Linked DNA regions of Oryctolagus cuniculus. The protein of the gene in region 4 interacts with the protein of the main gene of each other region in a biochemical or structural test. Links are inferred from orthologs where the notes say so. Each region holds a gene or a part of one and is shown on either strand. Other genes may lie near its edges.

Region 1 (4,392 bases), on a different chromosome or scaffold from region 4:
TCTCTGTAACTCTGACTTTCAAATAAATAAATAAATCTTCAAAAAAAAAAAAGGCAAGCATTGCTGTGCTTTCAGATATTTTTAATAACAATTTAAGCTTTGAAATTACTAATTAGCAAGATGTAAAAAGGATTCTTGAAAATCAGTATTTCTGGGGTTGTCATTGTAGTATAGTGGGATAAGCCACTGCCTATATTACTGGCATCCCATATTGGAGACCTGGAGGAAGTTTCTTACCTTTAGGCCCAGCCGTGGTCCAGATTGCAGCCATCTGGAGAGTGAACCAGATATCTCTGTTGGTCTCTCTCTACCTCTGCCTTTCAAATAAATAATATTATACAAATAAATTAATATTTGTAAATAGTTCAGAAACTTCTTTTAAAAGATTTATTTATTTGAAATTCAGAGTTGCAGAGAGAGACAGGGAGAAATAGAGTGATTTTCCATCTGCTGGTTCTCTCCCCAGATAGCGGCTCGGGCCAGGGCTGGGCCAGGCTGAAGCCAGGAGCTTCTGCTGCTCTTCGCAAGCTGTTAGCAGGGAGCTGGATTGGAAGTGGAGCATCCAGGACATGTGAACACTCGCCCATATGCAATGCCTGCGTTGTAGACAGTGGCCCTACCCACTGTACCACAGCGCTAGCCCATAGAAACTTTGATAGTCTATTTTCCCTACGTGGAGGACATTTTTTTTTACAGTCATGATAATGAATTATATTTTAAGACTTTGCATTTTTTCAACAGAATGATTCCAGGCTAAAACTTATACACACAGAATGTCTGAGAGTTTGTGGTAACTGGTTAGCAGAAACTTGCTTAGAAAATCCTACAGTCATCATGCAGACCTATCTAGAAAAGGTGAGCTTTTAGAGTAACCCTTAAGTTAATGAATATACTTGATTTTTTTTGCATCAGGTCCAAATATATTTCAAAAGCAAATAAAGACATGAGTTTTTCCATATGTTATCACTATTAGAACTCTGTATAATATTTAGGGCAAGAAGTAAGCAGAATTTTACCAAGGGAACATATGTTGAAAGAAATCCCAAGTATGGCTTCCCCTTCCTCAGTCTTCCCACCACTAGCTGCTCTTTCGTAAGTTGTTTCTGATGCTTTCTCCATGTTGTCATCTACAAAAATAGCTGATTAAGGAGCATGCAAGCTGGCCCTTACTATTCACTTGTGGTACAACCACGCACAAGTAAAGGCTAGGACTTCAGTACTTCAGCCCCCTTTGACTTTCCGATTTCTCCTTCTTATTCCTTAAGTTAGCTGATTTTGGAAATAGTTACCTGATTTAAATAAGTATAACTTGAAAAGAATGATGTAATTAACTTTAAATTTTATAATGCTCTTTGTTTTTGCACAATTTGCATTTTGTAAATACTGTCTTGGTTATTTCTTCACTGTCAGCGTTGTTTTGAAAGGCTAAGAAAATAATAGATTTCATATAATGTAGCTTTTACATATATAAACTTGAGGATGAGATTACTTTGAGTATTTGTATTGTTTAGTATTTGTAAATTAAATGGATTGTGTGTTCTTAAAGGCCGTAGAAGTTGCTGAAAGTTGTGATGGAGAAAATAATGATGAGCTCAGAAATGGGAAAATGAAGGCATTTCTCTCATTAGCACGGTTCTCAGATACTCAGTACCAGAGAATTGAAAACTACATGAAATCATCAGAATTTGAAAACAAGCAAGCCCTCCTAAAAAGGGCCAAAGAGGAAGTGGGCCTCCTGAGGGAACATAAGATTCAGACTAACAGGTAAGTAGATGTCTACAGGTGATAACTTTATGTTCACAAGTTAACTGAATGAATCTATCTGTGAAAAATGTGATCTGATTTTTTTATCTGATTATAATTTTCAGCATACGTATAGATTGTCTTGGCCCCACAGTGGTTATCTCAAATGAGCATGTAAGACGCTGACATGTGTTCTTTGAGGAGGTGTTCATAATCTGGTTCTAAACTCACGTAGTGTTTAGGTGTTAGCTTTTGGGTTTTGATTTTTAATTTGTTAGTTGGTATCAGCTGAAAAGGAGATAGATAGGAAATTAAAAACAGAAGACTTGGGGCAGGAATTGTGGTGCAGTGGGTTATGCCACTACTTGGGATGCTCACATCCCATAGCAGAGTGTCTGGTTTAAGTGCTGGCTCTGATCTAGTTGCCTGCTGATACATATAAGAGGCAGCAGATGACAATGTGGGTAATGAGTCCCTGTCATAAGTAGAGGATAAGTTAACTAAATAGCTTGAATAGAGTTCACTCTGCCCTCCTTTGCTTAGGAAAGCTTATGAATTGCATAATGAAAGCAAAAGTAAGTTTGTTTACTTTATAATTCTTAGAATTTTGCTTTTTCTCCTGTAAGGACTCTTGATTTCCCAGTTATGTATATATCATATATGGTTTTGTAGTAATGTAAAATTTAATGGCTTTTGTATTTTACTTTTAATGCAAGATACACAGTAAAGGTTCAGCGAGAGCTGGAGCTGGATGAATGTGCACTTCGTGCACTGAAAGAGGATCGCAAACGCTTCTTATGTAAAGCAGTTGAAAATTACATCAACTGCTTATTAAGTGGAGAAGAACATGATATGTGGGTATTTCGACTTTGTTCTCTCTGGCTTGAAAACTCTGGAGTTCCTGAAGTCAATGGCATGATGAAGGCAAGTCTATTCAACCCAACATTCTAACTTGCACTTTAAAAGCTGACATAAGCCCTTTGATTCAGGGACTTTGTAAATCCTTTTGTATCTTGAGCATTAGATTGGGTCTCTTTACAGAAGCACTTAAATTCTAAATGATACAGGTTTCTGTGGAGATGAAAAAATTTAGGTCTTTTCCTATATCTTTGCAGTTACCACTGGAGAGTAGTGCCCAGAGGAGGGCACTAAATGCAGGGATTTGGAAAGAAGTTAAAGATAATGTAATCAGTCACTAGTGGGTTCCTGCTTGTCTGGGACTACTAGAGTGAATTATTTTTATAAATGGAAACACATTTTAAAGAAAAATCTAGATGTCAATATTTCAGAAATTTTTATTTAAAAATCTTCGATTTTAATGATAACACCTAATGGTAAAGTTTATATTGACAAGGTAGATTTTGTCAGTGAATTTGAAGGTTAAAAGTAAAATAATGCCCCTGGATGAAAAGAATAATAAGACTCATAATACACAGGCCCCATCTCTGCCAAAGTATACATTAAATCCTATAGGCCAGGGTATATAAGGATTTAATTGTACACTGATTTCTCAGGATTCTGTGTTATGGTAGTACTCGTGTCTATAATCATGCTCCTTAGATTCAGTGGAATATAAGCAGTACCAGATATTCCAGTTCTTTTTTTAAAAGATTTATTTATTTATTTGAAATTCAGAGTTGCACAGAGAGAGGAGAGGAGAGGGAGAGAGAGATAGGTCTTCCATCCACTGGCCCACTCCCCAGATGGCCGCTTCTGCTGGAGCTGCGCCAATCCAAAGCCAGGAGATTCCTCTGGGTCTCCCATGTGGGTGCACAGGCCCAAGGACTTGGGCCATCTCTGCTTTCCCAGGCCACAGCAGAGAGCTGGTTTGGAAGTGGAACAGCCGGGACTCGAACTGACGCCCATATGGGATTCCAGCACTGCAGGCGGTGGCTTTACCCGCTATGCCATAGCACAGGCCCTCCAGTTCTGAATACAATTGAAATTAGAAAGAAATACTTCAGCTTACCTTCTTTTCTTTTTCTTTTTTTAAAGTTTGCCGAACTTTCTGTTTCTTTTTTTTTTTTTTAAGATTTATTTATTTATTTGAAAGAGTTAACACACAGAGAGAACGAGAGGCAGAGAGAGCAAAAGAGTTCTTCCAGCCGTTGGTTCACTTCTCAATTGGCCTGCAATGGCAGGAGCTGCGCCAGCCTGAGGCTAGGAGCCTGGACATTCTTCCAGGTCTCCCAAGCGGGTGCAGGGGCCCAAGAAATTGGGCCAGCTTCTACTGCTTTCCCAGGCCATAGCAGAGAGCTGGATTGGAAGTGGAGCAGCCATGTCTCAAACAGGCACCCATATGGGATTCCTGCAGCGGCTTTAACCGCTATACCACAGTGCAGGCCCTTGACTTACCTTTGAACCAATCTAGAATACTTACGATAAAGCCTTTCAGATAGAAGTAACAAGGAAATTCATAGTGAAGTTTTGTTGATAACCAATTGGTTTTGCTAGAAGAGGATCAATAACTTAGGATAATTTATTTGTTTAGTTGTGAAAATATTTGAAATGTATTGTTTATTAATTTTATACCCTTTTATAAATGAAAGGGACCTGGAATGGAGATTCCATCATACAAATTTTTGCCTCTAATGTACCAACTGGCTGCTAGAATGGGAACCAAAATGATGGGAGGAGTGGGATTTCATG
Region 2 (4,392 bases), on a different chromosome or scaffold from region 4:
GGACAGTGTATTTAAGTCAGGAAGTTTAAGTGAGCTCCTGTGTACCTCACCTTCATTCTAGATGCCTTTTCTGCTTCTCTCTCCAGTTTGCATATCTCTTGGACGCTAAGAAGGAAAAGTTGTGCCTCTCATTTTGTGGGATTTCACCTGTGGCACCCAGTTGTTGTAGAATTTATTTTTGAAGTTAAATAGAATAATGATCATCCTTTGCTTTGTTTTTAAAGGTCCACCCGTATCTAAGTCTTTTGGTGCCTCAAAGGCATTTGGAAAATCTGGAGGTTCCAGTCTGTTGAACACTGCTGGGGGAACACAGTCCAAAGTGGTACCCATTGCCAGCCTCACCCCTTACCAGTCCAAGTGAGTTACTGCTGTGGAATGTATCTACAAAATAACAGAAGTCATTTTGGGTTCTTGAGTTATTTATGTGTGAACTTCTGAATCACCATGACATAGAATAGTATTCCTCTTTTTCTTTTTCTTTTTTTTTTTCTTCCCAAGGGGAAGGAAAGTACTAATTGTGGCAGCCTTTGACTCTCTTATCAAAAAGAACGACAAAAATAGGAATCCACCAGCACTTATGGGGTTTCACTCATTATGAAAGAATTTTGAATTAAAAATATGCAATGCTTAAAGAATCAGTTGATAATCTTGTGAGGAAAAATAAGTATTTGTGCTAATCCCAAAGGCATTTCATCATCTCATAGAAATAAATGCCTTTTAGCCTAAAAATTGTTCCTGTGATTTGGTTGGCTGAGGTATACTGTTTGTGTTAACCTTGTTAACTTACCCTGAACAAGTATTTATTTTAGATGACTTTTGTCTACTAAAAATTGAGCAGTTGAAAGTGAGTTCTCTTTCCTGAATGCTTTCCAGTGTTTTTATTTACTCTTCAGCGGTGTGTAATGTGGGGACGATTTTCCCCTGTGTCGCTGTCAGGTGTAGCTCAGGCCCCAGGCACGTACATTCAGGGTGGACACCCAGACTGGCTCTCGAATCCTGTGCCTCCTTTCTTAGTGGCATCTGGGCAAGGTCCTGCTGCTTCAGTGCGTTTCCCTCGGGTGGCAAGCCCACCAACACCAAGTTCTGCTGCAAGTGAGACAGAGTTTGACACCAATTATATCAGTTCCCATAATGCAAATAGTGGCAAAATATAATTGCTGAAATTACTGCTGTTTTCTAGCTTGGAACCCTTCATTGGGGGACATTGTTACCTTGGTAATCCTTTTTGGTAAAGGAAGAGAGCTTATAAATTGACTTATTTGACAGAATGAGTTAGTGTTAAATGACTTTACGTGTTTTGCTATTTGCTTATCCCGTAAGCTGTCAAACCTGGGGTATTAATTAGCTGGTTTAAAATACAGCTAATTGTGAAAAAGTGGAATGTGCATAAGATGAGAAAAGCCATAGGAAGATGATTTCTTTCTTGATCTTTATTCTGAGTAAGGCTGCAATTACTCATATATAATCACTCTGGTTTTCAGGTGGACTATTTGTGCTCGTGTTACCAACAAAAGCCAGATCCGCACCTGGAGCAATTCCAGAGGGGAAGGGAAGCTTTTCTCCATAGAGCTGGTTGATGAAAGCGTGAGTATTTGTGGGAGCAGTGGTCAGCTCTGCATGCCTGCGAGCGGGTGAAAAAGTAACAGTGGGCCAGAAAGAAACTTGACTGTCATTTTGATGTTCCCTCTGTTACAGTAAGTCCTTTGATACAGCCTGGGAGTAGAGGGCTACAGGTCATAAATAAAATTCTTGTAGCAGAAGAAATCGATTTTCCAAATGTGTAAGTAGCCTCCTGGGCAGGAGGAGCCGGAGCCACCATGTCTGATTTGCTGTAGGCTCAGCTGTGGCCTCAGATGTGCTGCCTGCTGATGAGCGAATCGGGTGCTGGGCCCCGAGGAAGGCAGCAGGCACTGTGCACAGAGAATGGTGTGTGGGAAACGGGTTCTGATGGTGCAGACTCTCGCATACCTTATGTAAACAGAACTGAGGGGATGAGACAGAAAGTTTCCAGGCTGTGGAATCCTGACAATCTTGGTAGCTGCCGGTCTGCCCGTTAGTCTGGCTTATCATTCCTAAAATGTACATCAGGCTTTCTTTTCCATCTGCTGCGTACTTCCTTCTTGTTCAGATCCCTAAGAGGGCAGAAAAAATGGTTTCTTTTTTTGGGAGATGGTAACACCCAAATGTTAGACTGTATGATGACAGGATCAGAACCAGACCTTAACTCTTTACAAATTCTGCATCTAATCCATGGCGCTTTGGCTGAAATTTCAGCCCTTTAAGTTTTTTACGCATTTGATGACTTTTGACTGACTTCTTATGAAAGTGAAAGTGAAAATCAAAGCGTCTGTAACTTGAGCACACATTTTTGGCAGCAACACCTGCCTGGGGGAAGCTGGGGAGTCATTTGGTTCAGTGCACTTCCCCGTGGGCTTCACTCGTGTCGATTGCGTTCAGAACTCTCTGGTTCTAGTTTAAAAAAAAAAAAAAAATTTCCTTAATACAATGGAACACTTCCTTTTAACATTAAAAAAAAAAAAGAACTCTGGTTCTTATTGACAGAATACTGAATTATTGGAGTTTTGTTTGTTTTGAATTTCTTTTTATTTTTTTTTTTTTCTTTTTTTGAGAGGTAGAGTTACAGACAGTGAGAGGGAGAGACAGAGAGAGGTCTTCCATCCACTGGTTCACTCCCCAAATGGCCGCAATGACCGGAGCTGCGCCAATCTGAAGCCAGGAACCAGGAGCTTCTTCCTGGTCTTCCACGTGGGTGCAGGGGCCCAAGGACTTGGGCCATCTTCTACTGCCTTCCCAGGCCATAGCAGAGAGATGGATGGGAAGAGGAGCAGTCGGGACTTGAACTGGTGCCCATATGGGATGCCGGCACCACAGGCGGAGGCTTAACCTACTACACCACAGCACCGGCCCCTGTTTTGACTTTCTAACCTGAGGTTAATAAAGCATGATTCTGGGTCAGCTAGTTGAACTTCCCTGTGTCACTTGGCTAACGGTTGGAATTTGTGCCTGTAAAAGGTGTGTGCCTGGAATGGCTGTCCCCTTCCCCACTTGCGTCATCTCGATGCCCACGGCCTGTTTCTCGCGGGTCACACTTGATGCTGAACATGACCATGCTGACCGGCTCTCACTTGCCTCTGCAGGGTGAAATCAGAGCTACTGCTTTCAATGAGCAGGTGGACAAGTTCTTTCCCCTTATTGAAGTGAACAAGGTATGGTAGTGCTGGATTGAGAACTGACCCAGCCGGATGGTGGGGTGAGAGCAAGGGGAGTGTGGTCCAGTGGAGCGTTGTGTGGTGAAGAAAGGTTTTTATGTCCCACCTGATGGACTGTGTACACTTCATGGCCTCTCTTGCAGGTGTATTATTTCTCAAAAGGCACCCTGAAGATAGCCAACAAACAATTCACAGCTGTTAAAAACGACTACGAGATGACCTTCGTTAACGAGACGAGTGTGATGCCCTGTGAAGACGGGCACCATCTGCCCACGGTCCAGTTTGCTTTCACCGGGATCGACGCCCTAGAGAATAAGCCCAAGGACTCACTTGTAGGTAAGTCTGCGTGTGAAAACAAAGCCGTGGTCTCTCACTGTACCTGCGGTGTGTAGGGACGCATTACTGTGCAGTTCTTGGTCATGTTTTGACGGGAGCCCTGGCCATCTCTCCACTGACACGACGTGCCTGTGTTGCAGACATAATTGGGATCTGCAAGAGCTATGAAGATGCCACAAAAATCACAGTGAAATCTAACAACAGAGAAGTCGCTAAGAGAAATATCTATCTGATGGACACGTCTGGGAAGGTGGTGACTGCCACTCTGTGGGGAGAAGATGTGAGTACTTGCACAGAGCGGCTGTCACACACGGAAAGCGCTCCTGAGGGTGCTGCACTTGTCCCCTGCGTCCTGGGGCTTGGCTGTGCTGTCCTTTTGCTCACTTCCGCCAGCTTCGAGTGGTTTACACTTTGTGAGGCGAAATGCTCTTCCCTGTAACTCTGGGAAGGTAGCCCCAGACTCGTGCTGATGTGTTCCGAGCAGAGCTTGTGGGTATGGTTTGTCTTGCATAGATTCTTTGTACGTTGATTTCACTCACTCCACCATTAGCTGTTTTCTTTGTTGTCTGTAAAAATGCTCTGTGTGTTCTTCCTGCCAATGATACTTGTATGTGTTTGACACTTGTTTTTGCAGGCTGATAGATTTGATGGCTCTAGACAGCCTGTGCTAGCTATCAAAGGAGCCAGAGTTTCTGATTTTGGTGGGCGGAGCCTGTCTGTCCTGTCTTCAAGCACTGTCATTGTGAATCCTGACATCCCAGAGGCCTACAAGCTTCGTGGCTGGTAGGTTTTGTGGAGCTAAACAAAGGGGTCCCTTGCGCCCAGG
Region 3 (4,922 bases), on a different chromosome or scaffold from region 4:
CAAAACTCCGCCATCACAATAGTGAGCTCTCCTGCTAACAATGAGTTTGCAGTCAGTCCCATTGTCTTTATTTTTCTCTCCCAGTTATCTACCATCTCTGACTAAAATGTAAACGTTAGGACAGTGACCATAAGGTGTGCTAAATGTGGAGGTACTCCAAAGTCTGCAGGAAGTGGGAGTTTATTTTGGTGGCAAAATATTTTGAAGCCCATGATAGTCACATGTATTTATTGTATCACTTCAGAAGCACAAGTGCAGGCCATTGATGCAGCTATGGGACTAAAGCTAAGCTTTCTCTGAGGATGTCCTCAGAGAGGCTTGTAGGCTTGGCCAGGTGAAAACTGGAAAAGTGACAGATTAAACCCTGTCCTGTGATTAACGTAGTCGATGGTGACAGGGTGCTTTGGTCCTCTGGGAAGTTGCACAACTAGCAGCTCCTCTGGGCTGCAGAACATTTCCCATGGGGCCTTGCAAGCTGGCACCCCGCAGTGTGCTGTCAAAATCAGTCCTTGCACCGCCCGTGAGAGCACACTGCCTCTGAGAGCAAGTCGCTGCTCTCTGGCAGAATCTAATCCCTCCTGATGGGTGATCCTGTCTTTCCAAGGCCAGAGACCTACAGCAATTAATATGGAAGCATTCGACATTTGTGCAGCCGAGTTTCAGAAAACACGAAAGCCTTCTAGGACTTGACAGCAGTCTGCCCTCACAGGTATTGGTAGGAGACTCAGGCTCAGTTTGGCACTGAGTACCCAAGGTTTAAGAATCTTGCTCCTGTTACTCTCCGTGCCAATCTCCCCTGTTCAACTGCTCTGCGCACCGCAGCTACCACTCTGGGAAGCCTTACTGTCTGCCATAGATTACCAACACCTGGCCTGCCTTGGGTGGGGAATTCTGCGCTAGCCTTCTACCCCTTTATCTTGCTGTCTCCCACCTGACAACCTGTAGGACAGCCCAGGTGCCACTTCGGGGGGGGGGGGGGGCTCTTCCTTGACCTGACCCTCACTCATCTTTATACAACCAGTGCTTGTGACAAATATGCTCCAGCAATCTCCGAGAGAATGAATGAATGAATGAATGAAAGAAGTCTGAGCACTTCCCACACGGATGGTTCTCCTTGGACCTGTCTTCCCGAAACCTACCTCAAATGCCACACATTTCACACTCCTCGCCTAATCTCCCTAAAGGAGCCTCGGAGTATGTGATGGAAAGAGGCAGCGAGCTCTCGGGGGCCAGAACCCTGAACTCTGCCTGCCTCGATTCAAACGCACAAGGGTGACTGTCAGGGCGAACTGTCCCCCGCAGTTCTGTGCTCTGCTGGGCGCCAGGCAACCTCGAGGTTTCCCCGAAAACCCCCGGCGCCGGAGCCGGGCTCAGCTGGGCGGAGAGGGGCGGGGCGCCATCGACACTGGCGGGGACTCGGCCGAGCCTGGCGGCGCGCTCGGAGAGACGTCATTTCTCCGCGCTCGCGGGCCGGCAGCTGATTGGCCCGTGGGGTCGGGGGCGGTGCATAAGAGGCTGAGGCGAGTGCCGGCTCGCGGGCGGTTGGCTCGCCGGCGGCTTCGCGCTGCCGTGTGGGATTTGGCGTCTTCAGATGCTTGGGGCCGGCTGGAGGCATGGCTGGGACCTCCGCGCCGGGCAGGAGGCGGAGCGGGCCCGCAGCCCCTCGCCCTAGCCCGCTGCCCTCCACTGGGCACCCCCCAAGCAAGCGGGCCCGGGGTTTCCCTGAGGCCGCCGCCCCGGACCCTGAAGACCCGTTCGGCGAGCACGGAGACTTCACCGCTGACGACCTGGAGGAGCTCGACATCCTCGCGTCACAGGCCCTGAGCCAATGCCCGGCCGCGGCCCGGGACGTGTCCAGTGAGTGCCCTTCCCGGCCTCTTCCCCGGAGGGCAGTGCAGACCGCACCACATCTCCTTGACCGCTGTGGCTTCCGAACTCCAGGCGAGCGCTGCCCCAGTGTCCTGAACTAACACTCCCTTAACCTTCTTAAAAATACAGTAACGCCCCGATTGGAGCAGTTGGTTGTGTTCCAGGAGCTCCCTCGATTTGGGGGAGAAATGCATCTGGAATATCACTTGGAAATATAGAAAGCTAGGTTGACTTTTTTTTTTTTTTTTTTTTAAGTTAAGGCTACTCGGTTCTTAAAAGGTTCTAAGCAGAGATCCGTGGAACACATCTACCGGAACCATGGCTACCCACGTGCGAGTCTTTAAATCTGAAGCCCTCGTGCCCCTTAGCATGAGCCTAGGAGGAGCCTAGCAGAGGCAACAGATCAAAAATTTATTCTTAGACAAGCTTAATCAGCGCCACATGCAGCCGGCCTACCAATTAACAAAATAGGGCACATCCTGCATGGCGCTCGCTCCGTAGTTGAGTCTCATGCGGCTTCCAGAAAGGTTTCCGGGACATCTTGCCTCTGTAGTTGTTTGACAGGCATCTGAAACTCAACACGGTAATGGTCCGGAAACCCAGGCCTCCTGCAGCGTCTCCCGCGCTATTCCCGCTCGGCAGACTTGGAGAAGACACCTGTGATGACCAGATGCTCCCCCCGGCAGACTGTCTTCCGCCTTCACCCTACCTCTCTTTCCTTTGCCAATCCTGCCCACTTCCTGGGTCTGTCTCTGGACTCCATCCTGTTCCCATGGTCTCTGAACTCCCTGAGAGTCCGCCCCTGCACGAGATTGCTAACCTGGCTCCCCATTCCCTGTGCTGACTGCCTGCAAGTCAGACTTCACACTACAGCCAGAACGATCCTTGCAGAACCCACACTGGGCCATGTCGCACAGACAAATGTGAACATAGCTGCCGGACGTCCTTTAATAACTTCCCTCTGCTTCTAGAATGAAGACCTAAACCCTTAACGTGCGTGGTCTGCCCCGACTGCTAGCCACACTAACTTTGCCTCGTTCTGTGATTGCTCCCTGTTTGCTTCTAATACAGGAACTTTGCACGTTGCTCTTTGTTACACACTGACTGTTCTTGCTAGCCATCTGCCCTCAGGGTTCAGTCCGGCTTGTCTTTGAACCACAGCTCCTGAAGGCTTCCTGAGGGAAGCCTTCCAGTCACTGCGTTTGGCTCAGATGCCTCTTAGCAGAGGCTCTCCTCACGGTTGTAATTTAACATTTATTTGTGTATGAAGACTGTATCTGTTGTGTTCCCCATGCCAGCTGTATTGGCGCTCAGTAAATACTGCTAAATAACGTGACACCGAGCTCTGGCCGGTGAGAGCCCCTCACCACCTCTCACCCTTCAGTGAGACTTGAAATCGGGTGAGGATATAGACAGGGTGAAAAGATCCACTATTTCCTAAGTATCATTTATGAGTTTGAATCCTCCTCTTAGGTTGGGAATTCCCTATATGTCTTGCTTATAGAACTTTCTCTACTTTGCTCTCAAGATTGATTCTTTTCAGCATTTTCTAGCAAAAGTAGGAAAATGTTGGGTGCTAAATTATGTATGGGAACTGTTTTTTCTTTTCCTACAGGTATTCATAAAGTTCCCAGGTTAGATGGGATGTCAAAAACTCCAGCAGGGAAAAACAGAGAAAGTGTACCTGTTAAAGATAATTTTGAGTTAGAAATACTTCAAGCACAATACAAAGAACTAAAAGAAAAGGTAAGTAATTTAACCTGTGGTTTTTGCAGTTAATTCATTCACTTACGTGTTAGAAGACATTGTACAATAAAAGATAAAAATATGAAGGTTTTTAAGAGCATAGATTCACAGCTACAAAATGAAGAACACTGGGGAAAGAAAGCCAGAACATTTAGGCTGAAGAATTATAGATTGTGAGGTTGCTTAGAGCTAGGCGAGAAGAAAAAATTATGGGAAAGGTATTTGGCACAGAACTTTAAGATGCTACTTGGGGCCGGTGCCACGGCTCACTAGGCTAATCCTCCACCTTGCGGCGCCGGCACACTGGGTTCTAGTCCCATTCGGGGTGCCGGATTCTGTCCCGGTTGCCCCTCTTCCAGGCCAGCTCTCTGCTGTGGCCAGGGAGGGCAGTGGAGGATGGCCCAAGTGCTTGGGCCCTGCACCCCATGGGAGACCAGGAGAAGCACCTGGCTCCTGCCATTGGATCAGCGCGGTGCGCCTGCCACAGCGCACCAGCAGCGGCAGCCATTGGAGGGTGAACCAATGGAAAAGGAAGACCTTTCTCTCTCTCTCTCACTGTCCACTCTGTCAAAAAAAAAAAAAAAAAAAAAAAAAAAGGCTACTTGGGATGCCCGCTTTCTGTATCGGAATGTTTGATTTAAATCCCAGCTCTGCTTCTGATTCCAGCTTCCTGGTGAGGCACACCCTGGGAAGCAGCAGATGATGGTTCAAGTGCTTGGGTCCCTGCCACCCATGCGGAAGACCCTGATTGAGTTCCAGGCTCTCAGCTTCAGCCTGGCCCAGCTCTAGCTGTTGCAGACGTTTGGGGAGTGAACCAACAGGTGGAACATCACTCTGTCACTCTGCTCTTCTAATTAAAAAAAAAGTTTTTTAGAAGGAAAAGAAACATTTTATACTAAATCCAAGAAGAGATAAAATGAGAGATGAATTTATGGTATGCATGTTTTTTTAATTTTATATTTAAATAAATTTTTTTAATTTACTTATCTGAAAGGAAGAATTACTGAGAGGCAGAAGGAGAGGTCTTCCATAAGCTGGCTCACTCCCCCAGATGGCCACAAGGACAGAGCTGTGCCAGTCGAAAGGCAGGAGCCAGAAGCTTCTTCCTTGTCTCTCACATGGATGTAGGGGCCCAAGTACTTGGGCCATCTTCCACTGCTTTCCCAGGCCATAGCAGAGAGCTGGATCGGAAGTGGAGCAGCCAGGACTCGAACAGGCACCTGTATGGGATGCCAGCACTGAAGGTGGTGGTTTTACCCCCCATGCCACAGTGCCGGCTCCTAAATAAATTTTTAAGAAAAGTTGTT
Region 4 (4,392 bases):
TTGCCTGACACCTAAATGCACAAGTATTTGGAATACTTAGCTGTTTTTTCTCTTGTCAGTATATCCTTATTTATTATTCTTCATCAATTAAAATTATTTATAACTTTTAAGTTTTCTGATTTGAGAATCTGTTGATGCAGTGATCCTTTTGAAAAAACATTTTAATATAGTGACATCTCATGTCTTTGAATTCACAGACTTCAGAACATTCATGGATTTCTATATTAAGAATCCCTTTTTCCTGCTTGTACATTATAATTCCATTTGATATTTCAAATGTCTGTTTTTACTTAAAAAGGAGACAGGGTTTAAATGAAAGATATAACGTACAGCACCTGTTGTGTGTTCCAGTAGTAAAAAGTCCATTTGAAGATCATATCCTGGAAGATTTGTGTGGAATGCTTTCACTTCCGTGGATTTATCCTCATTCTGATGATGGCTCTTTGAAGTTGACCACATTTGCCACTAATCTTCTAGCATTAAGTGAGAGGATTTCAGATAGCTACTGTAAGTAGTCACAAAATTTTGTCTAATGTGTGTGATTTATTTTAACTTTATTTAGCATTTCTAATACTTATAATTTATATTTTTCAATAATTAAAAGGGATAGTACTTTTTTTTTCAAAGATTTATTTATTTATTTGAAAGAGTTACACAGAGAGAGACGTACAGGCAGAGAGAGAGAGAGAGAGAGAGAGGTCTTCCATTTACTGGTTCACTCCCCAATTGGCCACAATGGCTGGAGCTGTGCTGATCTGAAGCCAGAAGCCAGGAGCCTCTTCTCGGTCTCCCACACAGGTACCGGGGCCCAAGGAATTGGGCCATCCTCTACTTCTTTCCCAGGCCATAGCAGAGAGCTGGATTGGAAGTGGAGCAGCCAGGACACGAACTGGTGTCCATATGGGATGCTGGCACTGCAGGTGGTGGCTTTACCCACTGTGCCACAGCACCGGCTCCAAGATGGTACATTTTTAATAATTCAAAAAAGAATTATATGTGTAAAAAGTAAAAAATGAAAGTCTACCCCAAGATATCCCATTTCCTTTCTTTCTATAAAAGTTTGAAATATATTTTTACATATCTTTATCTTTACTTAATAAAATTATGAAATATTTGACAAATAAAAAAAAAGGAAAGCAATACACCAAATACTTTTAACAACTTCCCAGTTTAAGAAATAAAATGTTGGGGCCAGTACTGTGGCGTAGTAGGCTAAGCCTCCACCTGTGCTGCCGGCATCCCACGTGGGCACTGGTTCTTTCCTGGCTACTCCTCTTCTTCCCATCCAGGTCTCTGCTATGGGCTGGGAAACCGGGCCCCTTTCCTTGTGGGAGACCCTGAAGAAACTCCTGGCTCCTGGCTGCAGATCGGCTCAGCTTCAGCCATTGTGGCCATTTGGGGAATGAACTGTGGATGGAAGACATAACCTTTCTCTCTGACTCTTCCTCTCTCTGTGGCTCTACCTCTTAAATAAATAAATAAAATCTTAGAAAGAGAGAGAGAGAGAGAGGGAGGGAGGGAAGGAGGGAGGGAGGGAGGGAGGGAGGGAGGAAGGAAGGAAGGAATTGTTAAGGATGTAGTGGGTATTTGACCTACTGGTTGTCAGCAGTTAAGACAACTACTTAGATGCCTGGGCCCCGTATTCAACTACCTCAGTGTGGTAACTGGCTCCAGCTCTAGACTTCAGCTTCCTGTTATTGCAGACCCTGCAGGATAACAGTGATGGCTGCCTTCCACCCATGGAGGACACTGAGATTCTGCTTCTGGCTTTGGCCCAGCCCAGTCTCGGCCATTTCTGGCATTCAGAGAGTGAGCCAGTGAATGAGAGTTCCCTATTTGTCTCTCTCTGTGTCTCTTAAAAATTCTTTGTTTTTATTTTTAAAAAGTAAAATAAAATGTTGGAGATATAGTGGAACCCCTTTGTTCCTCCGATAATTTCTCTTCATTCTCCGCAGAGATAACTACTGTTCTGAATTTGGTATTTATTATTCTCATGAATATTTGATTACTTTTACTATATATGTTTATCTCTAAATAATACACAGAATTATATTTCCTTTATAACTTCCATTTTGTTGGTCAATATTATCTTCATGAGAGTTACCCATAGTGATACATGTAACTCTGCTATTTTATTTAAACTTCTCAATAGTATTCAAGTGTGTGGATAAACACTATTTATCTAGCCACCTATTGGCAGGCCATCAGATTGTTTCCAGTTTTTTTATAAATGCAAGCAAAATTTCCAAGGATATTTTAATAAGTGACCATGTGGTTATTCCAAAGCCTTGCTATTTGGAAAGTGTAGTCCCCAGAGCAGTAAGTGGTGATGTCACCATTTGGGAACTTGTTAAAGTAGAGAATCTTGTGCTCCCCCAAGACCTTCAGGATCAGAAACTGTTTTAACAAGACCTCAGGTGATTCATATGCATATTAAAGCTTGAGAAGCAGTATTTTTTTTTAATTAATTAATTAATTTATTTGAAAGTCAGAGTTAGAGAAAGGGAGAGACAGATTTTCCATATACTGGTTCACTTCCCAGATGGCCACAATGGCCAGGGCTGGGCCACCCTGAAGCCAGGAGCCAGGAAATTCATCCAGGTCTCCCACATGGGTGGCAGTAGCCCAAACACTTGAGCCATCCTCCAGTGCTTTTCCCAGGCCATTAGCAGGGAGCTTGATTGGAAATGAAGCAGTCAAGGACATGAACCAGCACCCATATGAGCTGCCAGCCTTGTAGACAGCAGCTTTACCTGCTGTGCCACAACGTGGCTCCCTAAGAAGTAGTATTTCAGACTAAGAATGGAATTGTTGGATTGTAGAGTTTGCTTATCCTCAGCTCTGTTCTACTGTATTCTCCAGTGATGTGCCTGCCAATTTATATTTCTGTTAATAGAATATGAGAGTACCTGTTGTTCCACATCCTCTCTGATACATAACCTTGTTAGGCTTTGAAATTTTTTGTTACATAGAAAAAAGAAAAAAAGAAGTCATTAGTGATAACTATCTTAATTTTTATTTTTCTATCTGATGTATATGATTTTCAATTTTTATTTCTCTGATTACTTAATAAGGCTGTGCACAGACCTTTTTCACTGTACCTGTTTTATTTTCTGAAAAGGGGCTTTTGATTAGATATTCTGTGTATTTTAAGTGTTACTTGACGTTACACACATGTGTGTGTGTTTAATGGATTTAATCTTTTTCAGCACCACAGGCGCAGTCACGATGTGTGTTTCTTCTAACTCTGTTTCCAAGAAGAATATTCCTTGAATGGAGAACAGCAGTTCACAACTGGGCCCTGCAGAGCTGCCATGAAGTAATTCGGGCTAGTTGTATTAGTGGATTTTTTATCTTATTACAGCAGCAGAATTCTTGCAACAGAGTTCCCAAGATCCTTATGTATGTATTAAGATTTTAATTTGAATATGTCACTAGATGAGAAAGGTCATAATTCTCTGGCTGTACCTAGGACGTTAATGTTTATTGCTGAATATGTAGAGCAATTGTTGCTTTTGTTTTAGGATTAAACATGTTTTCCTGATAAGCTTTGTCTTACCAGAATTTTGTCCCAAGTTAAGACCATTTAACCCAAAAAATTAAGCAAGAGGTTTGCTTTTTTTTCTTTCTTTTTCTCCAGAGATAAAGTCAAAGATGATTCTGACATTGTCAAGAGAGAATTTGCCTCTGTACTTGGTCAGCTTGTCTGTAGCCTTCATGGCATGTTTCATTTGACAAGTTCTTTAACAGAACCATTCTCTGAACATGGACATATGGATCTGTTCTGTAAGAACCTGAAAGCCACTTCCCCACACGAATGTTCATCTTCTCAACTAAAAGCTTCTGTTTGCAAGCCATTCCTTTTCCTACTGAAAAAAAAAATACCTAGCCCAGTAAAACTTGGTGAGTCGTTATGATTTACTTAATATTTTAAAACCTATTTGAAAAACTGTTTTTCAAATCAGTGCTAGAACTAGCCTAAGGCCTTAAAAGATAACAAGTGACATTGTTGATAGATTCAATGCTTAGTAGTGATTATTTATAAATGGATGAATGGTATTAGAATATGTCACAGAGTCAGTAAAAGAAGTGATTTTTAGATTTTTTTAAAAGATTTATTTATTTATTTGAAAGAGTTACAGAGAGAAAAGGAGAGATGGAAATCTATCCACTGGTTCACTTCCCAGAAGGCTGCAACAGCTAAGGCTGGGCCAGGCAGAAGCCGGGAGCTTAATCTGTGTCTCCCATGTGGGTCGCAGGGGCCCAAGCACTTGGGCCATCTTCTGTTGCTTTTCCCAGGCTATTAGCAGGAAGCTGAGGTGAAGCAGTTGGGACTGGAACCCGTGCCCGTATGGGATGCTGGTGTTGCAGCTGTTGGCTTTACCCACTGAG

Evidence for each region.
Region 1: of the proteins of ATR (region 4) and ATM, one has a biochemical effect on the other in vitro, tested with the Homo sapiens proteins (2 studies listed by BioGRID, with this or other methods). The link is inferred for Oryctolagus cuniculus from reciprocal best matches to the Homo sapiens genes ATR and ATM.
Region 2: the proteins of ATR (region 4) and RPA1 form a complex in vitro, tested with the Homo sapiens proteins (2 studies listed by BioGRID, with this or other methods). The link is inferred for Oryctolagus cuniculus from reciprocal best matches to the Homo sapiens genes ATR and RPA1.
Region 3: the proteins of ATR (region 4) and ATRIP form a complex in vitro, tested with the Homo sapiens proteins (4 studies listed by BioGRID and IntAct, with this or other methods). The link is inferred for Oryctolagus cuniculus from reciprocal best matches to the Homo sapiens genes ATR and ATRIP.

What each region holds. Positions count from the first base shown.
Region 1 is NC_091432.1:100,091,487-100,095,878, forward strand, and holds part of ATM (serine-protein kinase ATM), read left to right. Parts: intron 1-741; coding exon 742-855; intron 856-1,546; coding exon 1,547-1,764; intron 1,765-2,459; coding exon 2,460-2,667; intron 2,668-4,292; coding exon 4,293-4,392.
Region 2 is NC_091448.1:47,388,850-47,393,241, forward strand, and holds part of RPA1 (replication protein A 70 kDa DNA-binding subunit), read left to right. Parts: intron 1-224; coding exon 225-357; intron 358-1,481; coding exon 1,482-1,584; intron 1,585-3,158; coding exon 3,159-3,227; intron 3,228-3,373; coding exon 3,374-3,566; intron 3,567-3,706; coding exon 3,707-3,846; intron 3,847-4,200; coding exon 4,201-4,349; intron 4,350-4,392. UniProt on the Homo sapiens protein: As part of the heterotrimeric replication protein A complex (RPA/RP-A), binds and stabilizes single-stranded DNA intermediates that form during DNA replication or upon DNA stress.
Region 3 is NC_091441.1:100,606,287-100,611,208, reverse strand, and holds the start of ATRIP (ATR-interacting protein), read left to right. Parts: upstream 1-1,507; 5' UTR 1,508-1,613; coding exon 1,614-1,941; intron 1,942-3,484; coding exon 3,485-3,615; intron 3,616-4,922. UniProt on the Homo sapiens protein: Required for checkpoint signaling after DNA damage. Required for ATR expression, possibly by stabilizing the protein.
Region 4 is NC_091435.1:139,335,850-139,340,241, forward strand, and holds part of ATR (serine/threonine-protein kinase ATR), read left to right. Parts: intron 1-351; coding exon 352-507; intron 508-3,209; coding exon 3,210-3,402; intron 3,403-3,640; coding exon 3,641-3,903; intron 3,904-4,392. UniProt on the Homo sapiens protein: Serine/threonine protein kinase which activates checkpoint signaling upon genotoxic stresses such as ionizing radiation (IR), ultraviolet light (UV), or DNA replication stalling, thereby acting as a DNA damage sensor.